Linked DNA regions of Arabidopsis thaliana. The protein of the gene in region 2 interacts with the protein of the main gene of each other region in a pairwise test. Each region holds a gene or a part of one and is shown on either strand. Other genes may lie near its edges.

Region 1 (6,335 bases), on a different chromosome or scaffold from region 2:
TTATTCCCTGTTTTATAACATTATATGTTGCTCATTTGTTCCTATTTGTCTTTGTTCTGGTAATGGTTTAGGTATACTTCTAAGATGCTCCTAGCTGCTATTGATGAGTACTGTAAAGGAACATATGATTTTCTTTATTTGCCAATTGACTTCAAGGTATGCAGGCCTCTTACCTGTTTTTTCATCTAATGGAGTCTAATGCAGCCTTATAGCTTAGGGTATTTTCTACATCGATATAAATGAACCTTCCTTCTATTTGCAGAATAAATGCAATGTCGGATATGCTTTCATCAACCTTATCGAACCTGAAAATATTGTTCCGTTTTATAAGGTATAAGCTTTGTACCTTTTTATGATCAATTTGTGTAGATGATGTATCATTGTTCTTTAGAAAAAAAGGAAAAAAGCGTTTGGTTACAAGTTTAAAACCTTAACAGGCATTCAACGGTAAGAAATGGGAAAAGTTCAACAGCGAGAAGGTGGCATCGCTTGCATATGGTCGGATTCAGGGGAAATCAGCTCTTATTGCCCATTTCCAGAACTCAAGTTTGATGAACGAAGACAAACGTTGCAGGCCTATTCTCTTCCACACTGCTGGTCCAAATGCTGGTGATCAGGTAAGGAAGACAAGGGCTCAATTGATATCCTTATTCAAACTATAACCTCTTTCTGTTGCAAGTAATCATATCATCTGGTAGTTATGTATTCACTATAGCGTGACACACATAAATTAGGTTCATAGTTGGTCCTAATGAGAGAACCTATTTCCCTTTCAATTAGCTGTTTTTGATGAGAGATTACTGCATTTGTAAATGTGCAGGAACCATTTCCAATGGGTTCAAACATCCGGTCAAGACCAGGCAAGCATCGAACAAATAGCATCGAGAACTACACCAACTTTAGCAGTAGCTCTGATAACCGAGACGAACCTGCAAATGGGAACGACTCCATGTAACCGATAAGCCAGACAGTTTTCATGTCGTAAGCCAGACTAACCCTTTTAGGCGTCTTGTATCAGAGGTAAAAGAAAAGAGACCCAAAAGATTAACACAAGGTAAAATATATATATATCGTTGACAACCCCACAGCTCTGTAAATCCTTGGGGGTGTGGTAAATTACCTGAGAAAACTCATTTTGCAGAGGAGAAAGTTTTTGAAGTCTTGGTCCCTTTAAACTCCTTCAGGTTACTTCACAAGTTTTGTTGTATCACTAAACCTCCCAGAGAAAACCTTGCTTGATTTTTTTTTCTTTTTGCTTTCTAAGTTTTTATTTTTCTGTTTTACTTAAAAAATTGTTGGGTTGTGTCTACAAGGATCTTTTTCTTTGTACTTTGCATACAAATGTAACAACCTAGTACGATGTGTTCAGTTTCTTCGCCCGTGGCTTGGGACCATATAATATCATTTATGTAAACCCTTTTGAGGGCGAAGTTTTTGGCATTGCTTTCTTCTCTTTTGGTTTTTAGTGTTTCTTTGAATCTTTAGTCGGTCACTTTATAAGCTTCTGACACAGTCAGTTGTTTAAGGCTTCCTCTTGGAATAAATAATACTACTAAGACACTTGGTCTCTAAATTTTCGACTATCAGAATTCTTGGTTGGATACATTTTTGGCCCCTGAGAGTAAGTGGCCCATTTATGGCAGTGGAGGACCTCCTTGGCTCCTTCTCCAGTCCAGCTCTTGTATCCATCCATTATAAGGCTTTGGAAAGAAAGAAGCAACTGGGTTTGGTCTGCAACACATACTTGATGATTCTCTTGGATAAGGAACCGATCTCATGAACTATATTCTATAATACTATATAGTTATTCTTGTTATATTTATAGAAACAAAAAGTTACTATATATGTAGTCCAGTAGTAATTATGCTTTTGAAAAAGTTTTGTTAGCCTTTCTGGTGGCGAAATCTTTTTTAATTGGTCATTACGTAAAATTGGTGTGTCTTATTATTCACGTCTCCCTCTAAAAGATGCGTTCTCTCTTTCTTTGTTCCTATTTCAATTACAGTCACACCGCATTATAAAATATATTTTTTTTAAAAATACTTTTATTCCCATAGAACTATAAACAAAATTATCTCTTAAACGTCGGCTTAATTCAAAAATCTGATACTAAGACAATTTTCCGATGTGGACCAAAATATATACAAGTAGACCGGTTGTAGTAAATATATTCACGTGATCTTACAGCCAATTTAATACATATGGACCATCTAGTTTTCCACTAATCAAACATAAACCTACACTAATTAATTTGGGGAATACTTAATTCTTTATGTTGTCAATAATTTCAAAACAACAATAAAAGGAAATTAAATGGAGTCAAGACAGATCGTCGACTTGGAAAAACAAAGGTGGGTCCCATCTAATTCACTGTCCTGATTTTTCCTCTTCTTTCCTTGTTCGTCTCCCCCCAATCTCCTCCTCCTCTTTTTTTGTTCTGAAGAGACTCTCGCCGTCTAATGGGAAGCTGTTGGTCTGATGGCTCTTACGCTGGTGGAGGAATGGTCGGTGTTGGTGGTGGGGCTAATTCCTCCGCCGCCACTCCTAACGACGCCGTTGACTACTATCTCAAGTCTCGTGGCTACAATGGCCTCTTTTCTCAGATCGAGGTCTGTTTCTTCCCTTTTCCCTTCTTCAAGACTTGAAATTTTTAGTTTCACTCATCTTTTTTTTCTTTGTTCGCAGTTATCTTTCTCTGCTTCCAATTTGCGAGACCGGGACGTGATTTCAAAGGTTCGTTTTTTTCTTCCAGAAAACTGATATTCCTGGAGCCAATTAAGTGTTATAGGTTTGATTCAAGGATAGTGTATATAAGCTTATATCATTACTTTGGTTGTTATATCTCAGAGTGATGCAATGGTGGTTGTTTATACAAAAGGAAGAGATGGAACACTTGCTGAATTGTTTCGTAGTGAAGTTGTTTTGAATTCTTTGAATCCTAAATGGATTAAGAATTTTACTATTGGTTATCAGTTCGAGATTGTGCAAACATTGCTGTAAGTGAAGTTCCTTGAAACCTCGGTTATATGTGTGAAAAACTTGAGGAAAAGGAATCAACTTTAACACCTTTTGCTGCACAGGTTTCGTGTCTATGATATTGACACTCAGTTTCAAAATTCTAAGGAGGAGGTATCTGCCAAAATTTTTCATCTTTTCGTTTGTCACTAGGTAGTCTTAATATAAGTTACACTTTTTTTTTAATGTTTTCAGTTGCTTAAGCTCGACGAACAGCAATTTCTCGGTGAGGCAACATGTACATTGTCCGAGGTATGCCAACCTCTCTATTACATCATTTTTAGTGTAAGGAAGAGAAGATAAACTTGCTATAGATTAGTTTGATTTAGATGTTGTGTTGACTGTGCAGGTGGTTACCAAATCAAATAGGACGATTGCTTTAGAACTTATGCGTAAAGAAGGTGTTGCTGCACAGACTCAGCCACAACATAATGGAAAGCTTATTGTTCATGCTGAGGAGTCTTTAGCTTCTAAGACCAATACAGAGATTGTATTTAGGGGGTTGAATTTGGAATCAAAGGATACTTTCTCTAAAAGTGTAAGCTATACTCTTTGACCAGTTTATCTCAGTATACTTCAGACATGAATATAACACTGTTGTTGTTCATGCTCAGGACCCGTTTTTGGTGATATCTAAGATTGTAGAGCACGGGACTCCAATCCCGGTCTCTAAAACAGAAGTTTTAAAGAATGATCCCAATCCACTTTGGAAACCAGTCTCTCTAAGTGTTCAACAAGTGGGGAGTAAGGTAAACCAACCAAAGGGGTTTATTATATCTGAGTTTTGTCTGACCAGGAAGATGTATTAGTTTCTCTTTTGTAATCTTGCAGGACAGCCCACTGGTAATAGAGTGCTTAGACTTCAATGGCAATGGCAATCACGATCTGATAGGGTTAGTCACAAAATCTCAGTTCCTTGCATTCTTTTTTGGTTGAGATATGAAAATGATTTGCTGAAGCTGAGATGATTCTTGTATCTTATTGGTTTTGCCAGAAAAGTTCAGAAATCACTGTCAGACTTAGAAAAGCTTCATTTGGCTGGCCAAGGAATCAATTTAGCCTTACCTACTGGTGTTGGACATAAACATGAAGATAGGGTATAGACCTTCAACAACAAGAGGTTTTTACACAATTTAAAATGCGAGAATTCTGATAACATTTAGCATTATTTCAGGTATTAAAGAGCCAGCTTTTCGTTGACAAGTTTACTGAAACCGTCCAGCATACATTCCTAGAATACTTGGCTTCTGGATTTGAATTGAACTTCATGGTTGCAATTGATTTCACAGGTAAAAAGATCTGAAAAGTGCAGAGTTTTTCTAGACTCTCTCTCTCTCTCTTTAAACTAATCCAATTTGTCCCTTCTTCCATCAGCTTCAAATGGAAATCCTCGCCTGCCAGATTCCTTGCATTACATTGATCCTACAGGACGATTAAATGCCTACCAGAGAGTAAGAACTCGATCTATTCAAGTTAATTTGCAGAAGCTGGTGACTGTGTGTGATCTTTCTTCTTTCTATTCAGGCAATAGTTGAAGTTGGAGAAGTGTTGCAGTTCTATGACTCGGACAAACGCTTTCCCGCATGGGGTTTTGGAGCTCGTCCAATCGACATCCCGGTCTCACATTGCTTTAACCTCAACGGAAGCAGTACTTATTGCGAGGTCTTGCAACAAATCCTACTCACATTGAACTAACTTTTGTATCAAAATTTCTCAATTAATCTTTGTTATTTGATTGTTTCTCAGGTAGACGGAATTCAAGGAATCATGAATGCCTACAATGGCGCTCTCTTCAATGTCTCTTTTGCAGGACCTACTCTATTTGGTCCTGTAATCAACGCTGCTGCAACAATCGCAAGCGATTCACTCGCTCAAAGTGCAAAGAAATATTACGTCTTGTTAATAATCACAGTGAGTTTATACACAACAAGACGTGTGATTTTCCTCTGATTCTTGTGTTTTTATCTATATGAAAATACCATGTCGGTTTTTTTGTAGGATGGAGTAATAACAGATCTTCAAGAAACGAGAGACTCAATTGTCAGTGCATCGGATCTCCCATTATCAATCCTCATCGTTGGAGTCGGAGGAGCTGACTATAAAGAAATGGAGGTTCTTAAACAAAAACGTTATGCTTAACTTCATTTGAAAAACTTCTTGAAATAGATTCTTACAAGGTTTATGTATTGGTTGTTTGTATAGGTACTAGATGGAGATAAAGGAGAGAAATTAGAGAGCTCCAGTGGTCGAATAGCATCGCGCGATATCGTCCAGTTTGTTGCATTACGAGACATACAATGTGAGTCTCGTGTTTCTTGATTTGTCAGGCAGAGTTTTGGTCTCTGATCATTGTGGTTGTTGTTGTTGTTGTTGCAGATGGAGAGGTCTCAGTGGTAGAAGCACTTCTAGCAGAATTGCCAACACAATTTTTGACGTATATGAGAAACCGTAATATTACTCCCACCACCACTACTCCATCTTCTACTTGATCCACACTCTCAACACTGTACATACATCAGTCAGTCACAGCTATAAACGCTGTCGTCTTATCTTGGCTTTTATTTTTGTTTTTTTCGATTTTATATTGTCTGGAATTTTTCCGTTTTCCAGTATTCCACGTCAAATTATATCTCATCACTCTTCATTATTATATTTGTTGTCAAAAACATAATTTATTATATATGCCAAATTATTAGTTGGTTTGGGCGTATTCACATAGATATGTACTGTTTCAACGGTCAACATATATAGTTGTTGACTTTCTTAATTTGGTTGGGATTTAGGTGGACTTTCTAAGTCTAACTTTTATTAAACGTGACCGTTGATTATTCTTTACCGTACTTGTCGCTGAAACAGATACTGTCTATTACAGCAACAAAACGAGACCTTAAAATATAAATATTCTATTATATAGTATCTATTTTTAATCTCATAATACTAAATCTGAAATTTTGTTTATATATACGTATTGTGTTATAATTATCATAAAATTGAAAGTAAATTTTTTAAAAAAGTTGTCAAGCCGTTTTATGCAAAAAAGATTTTTTTTTTAAAAAAAAAATTTACATTATGTGACGTCGTTAAACTCATTTTCCCTGCTTGGCAAATTCACAAAATGTTGTTTCTTCGTTCTCGTCAACAAATCTGAAAATACCTACACATGCCATGTGTATATCCTGTTTTAAAGTTTAATTTTTTCATTTAAATTCAAATTCATTGACATGTCGTTGTAAGATACTCTCAACCTTTTTTCTATCAGATTGACTTTCTTATTAAAAAAGTCACTTTCTTTTCTCGTAATCTTAGCTATATAATGTCAT
Region 2 (3,828 bases):
AGATTCTCGAAAATAAAGAAAAAAATTATAAGAACAGGAAAGAGATTTAGAAACTTGATATATAAATGGAAATAAACAAAAACTTGATAAATCATACCTAGTTTTGTTATATGCAACATCAGATGTGTGAGAACACTCAAAGTAGCATATAATATATGAATTAGTCCGTTAGGATAATCATAATTTTTGATTATTAAACTATGTATCTAAGAAAACTAAAAATATTGGGTGTATACAGTTGTCCTCCTGACATGAGTATATGATTGTAAGTAGGGATAATTAATCCGAATACTGGTTTGGTTTGGTTCAAAAATTTTGGTTTTTAGTGGGGCGATAAAGAGGAAGAGTCATATAAAGATTATCTAAAATAATAATGGGTTTTGTGTTGTAGTCGTAAGCCGTAACTCGTAAGTAACGAACGAGAGAGAAACGTGTGGATTTAGTAAAAGGCTTGAAGCCAGTGGCCGCTATTTTAAAAGTCGGCCGAAATCAGAGACTAAGCCCAATTGCGCCAACAAACTTTTACCAAAATGGTTGAAATTTCTATAATCTTGTGAAGTTGTTAATTAGTAAATCAATTCAAACAAAAAATCATAAACAAGAACAGACGGTCGTAGTGAAGCCAAAATAAGTCCATAACAAAGTGCCCACGTGAGGTACATCTAACACTGCACATTTTATATCCGTGGAAGTCTTATCTCTTCTCTAACCAGCAGAGAAACTACTTTTATCTAGTCTTAAAGTTGTGCGGTATAAAATTGTCACAGCATAAACATATTACAATTTCATTTCGATTTTTTTGTAAACATGCCCATAATCTATCATAGTGAAACAAATATAAATATTTCAATTTGTCTCTGTTTTTTTTTTTTTTTTTTACTTGAGGAAAATCCTTCTTCTTTTGAAGGATTAAATATCATAGATTATATGACGTAACTTTGACAAAAAAAAAAAAAGATTATATGACGTAACATTCTCAAAACAATTTAAATTGATTATAAACATACCACTAGATATTTGTTTAATCATATCCGCAACAAATCACCACGCAAGTAACGTTACAATAACTCACAATCATTAAATACAAACCAGAACAATTGCAAGACTTTTTTTTTTTTGTTTTCTTCTTCCAACAAACACACCATGCACGAACTATAACAACAAGTTCTTAGATATCATCGTCGAACAAATTTGACTTTTCTATTTTCAATTTTGGTTTCGTGAGTATTATAACAAAAATTAATCACACATCTTTGTTCCTCAATTCCAAATTGGGAAAATCTATGGAACAAAGACGAAGAATTAATAATATGTGCATCCCCCCCCAAAAAAAAAAGATTTTAAAATTGGCGTTGATACAGACCCCAAACCGGAACTCCGGTAACAGTCCGGCCACCGTATCCATCAATCGATGCCGTCTCTAATCTCGGCCTCCACAAACCAGTAACCGCCGCTTGGGACGAACACGCGCCGTAATCTCTGGTGGGATCCGATTTAACCAAAATCGAAAGATTGACGATCCCACACTTATCACCAAACTCATCTCTCAATCTATAGCTCAAGAAGTTTAAGTGACCTTCAGGTGAATACCTTCCCATGAAATCATTCGTTGGGATTTTAGCTTCTCCGATTTTTTTATCATGCCCAGAACCTGTTCGATAAAATACCTCAATGAAGATAAACTGTTCATTACCATTGATGGGCATCTCTGATTTATAGTTCCATGTAGGATTGCTTCTTCTCGATTCGTCAAGATTAGATTTTCGACATTTCTCGTCGATTTTTACGACGGCGAAAGTCTTTTTCTTGATGGGTCTCCGGTTTAGCTTAAGCCCTTCTGCTGATCTCAAATCAATCTCCAATGTTTTTGTCATCATTGTTGTATAATGATTGTCGATTGATCTACCAAAATATATCATTTGGGTTTAATGTTTATTTGTTGGTCTAATCATTAAGTAGAATGAAAGAACAAGTTTATATATAGACAACATCACTTAGGAAGGTGACAAGGAAGTTTGGAAAGAAGTCGCTCGGAGATTTCTTCTCTTTTTCCCGCCAGCTCATTATCAAGATATAAAGAAGTCGACCAAACAAAAAAGGGCAAAGACAACAAAAAAAAAAGACAAGGAAATTACGTTTAAATTTTAGATTAGTATTTTGTTCATTTGAATTCGGTTTTATATCAAAAAATAAAATAAAATTGTTTGAATATATTTTATGAAAACAATAAAACTGTTTTCAAATGAATCATTATTTTTTGTTTTTTGATAAATAATACTTAACTCTTTGCTGTGTTAGTTCATATATAATTTTGTGCTTCAGCTTAAATATTACTCCTTCATTTTCTTCTATTTAGATGAATGTGTAAATTATGAAAAGGACTATAAATTATAAGTGGTCATAAATTCTCAAATATATTTACATTTTTAAAAACATTTTTTAATATAAAATAAACTAAATTCTGAGTATTTTATTACTAGTATAATAATAATAAAAAAAAAAATTTAGTTTTGTGATTATATGACATTTCGAATCTCGCGAATCACGATGTTAGTTTATTTACGTAACATCAATCTCAAGATTTCTAATTAATATAAACACAATTTGTTTTTTGAATAATGTTGTCTAGTTAAAAGTGTAATACGACAAAAAGGAATTAAAACAATGTGGCATAACCGCATAAGCGAGTTGAATCCAGCAGCGTGATAAACGCGGCGAGACGCGAGAACGTTCGTTGTTATAAAAAAATGCGCGTACCAGCAGCTACGATGAAACACGAGTATAATTGTATAAAGGAAAGTACTCGTTTATTTCTTCCTTAAGATCTACTTAATTATTCGTTTTTGAAATTGACTCTTTTTTATCTCAACTCCAGCTCAAGATTTCCTAAAATCCATGTAGTTTTGTCGTATAAAATAAAATGTGGTAATCATGTTCTAAATAATTTACTAAAATTATGAAGTGTCCATACTCGTATCGTATTATGGTGTAAGTTTTTTTTTTTTGTTAAGTATGCTCTATATGGCCTTGATATTTAGTTGTCGACAGAGTCTTAATTATATTTTTAGATATTAATTAGAACTTACATACTCAGGATAATAACATCAAAATACTTTTTCTTGATGTTAAAAAACTTAACTTGTGAGAAAATTATGTGGAAAATTCCTTCGCAAAACGTTTATTTGAACGGAAACTATAGTTATAACTTTTCACCAAATATTGATCAAGAATTATTCAACTCATTTGAATATATTTTCGTACGACCTCTTAGTGTAAATGGAGTTAACTTTTGTTTAAGAAGGTTGGAATTTACTTAGACATTCAAATACGTAGACTTTATCAAACAATCAAAAATACTAATTATCTAATACGTATAGATTACTTTCGTCTTTTTCTTTTTTTACGAGTGGAACGAAAACTCATGGAAAATATTGGGGGAGTCGTTGACTCCATGTCCTACTTGTACGGTTGTACACTTGTACCATTCCTTAATTCTTGGACAGGTTGTGCAAAAAAATAAACTTCAATTTAAAGTGAAGATAGTAAAACAAATAGTAAAGAAATTTATGGTTTCTTATGATGATTATGTGATCATGTTTGCACGTAAGGTACAATTACAATTAAGTCTTCACCACGTAATATATATGCCTTAAAAAATATAATATCTATTTTTGAAAATATGTACCGCATATATATCATCAAAACATCATTTGCAGAAAGAAAAAAAAAACATAACTTTCGAATTTCTCATGTATTGGAAACATCTGTTTGGGTTAACCTGCAGTTACGAATTTCGTTGGAACCTTTTTTCTCTTGTTGATTTCCATG

What was found.
Region 1: the proteins of BAP1 (region 2) and BON2 interact in binary tests that used the Arabidopsis thaliana proteins (3 or more experiments, as listed by UniProt).

The regions. Positions count from the first base shown.
Region 1 is NC_003076.8:2,297,537-2,303,871, forward strand, and holds BON2 (Calcium-dependent phospholipid-binding Copine family protein), read left to right. Parts: upstream 1-2,188; 5' UTR 2,189-2,459; coding exon 2,460-2,609; intron 2,610-2,685; coding exon 2,686-2,733; intron 2,734-2,847; coding exon 2,848-2,996; intron 2,997-3,080; coding exon 3,081-3,129; intron 3,130-3,210; coding exon 3,211-3,267; intron 3,268-3,364; coding exon 3,365-3,553; intron 3,554-3,629; coding exon 3,630-3,764; intron 3,765-3,846; coding exon 3,847-3,908; intron 3,909-4,009; coding exon 4,010-4,112; intron 4,113-4,189; coding exon 4,190-4,304; intron 4,305-4,389; coding exon 4,390-4,466; intron 4,467-4,539; coding exon 4,540-4,677; intron 4,678-4,761; coding exon 4,762-4,926; intron 4,927-5,013; coding exon 5,014-5,127; intron 5,128-5,217; coding exon 5,218-5,314; intron 5,315-5,391; coding exon 5,392-5,504; 3' UTR 5,505-5,732; downstream 5,733-6,335. Other genes in the region: ML4 (MEI2-like 4), read left to right, coding at 72-156, 263-331, 438-617, 821-955. UniProt on the Arabidopsis thaliana protein: Negative regulator of cell death and defense responses. May repress a number of R genes and may have effects in promoting growth and development. May function in membrane trafficking and in fusion of vesicles with plasma membrane.
Region 2 is NC_003074.8:22,649,497-22,653,324, forward strand, and holds BAP1 (BON association protein 1), read right to left. Parts: upstream 2,103-3,828; 5' UTR 1,920-2,102; coding exon 1,341-1,919; 3' UTR 1,107-1,340; exon of another isoform or gene 958-1,106; intron 880-957; 3' UTR 663-879; downstream 1-662. UniProt on the Arabidopsis thaliana protein: Negative regulator of cell death and defense responses. Exhibits calcium-dependent phospholipid binding properties.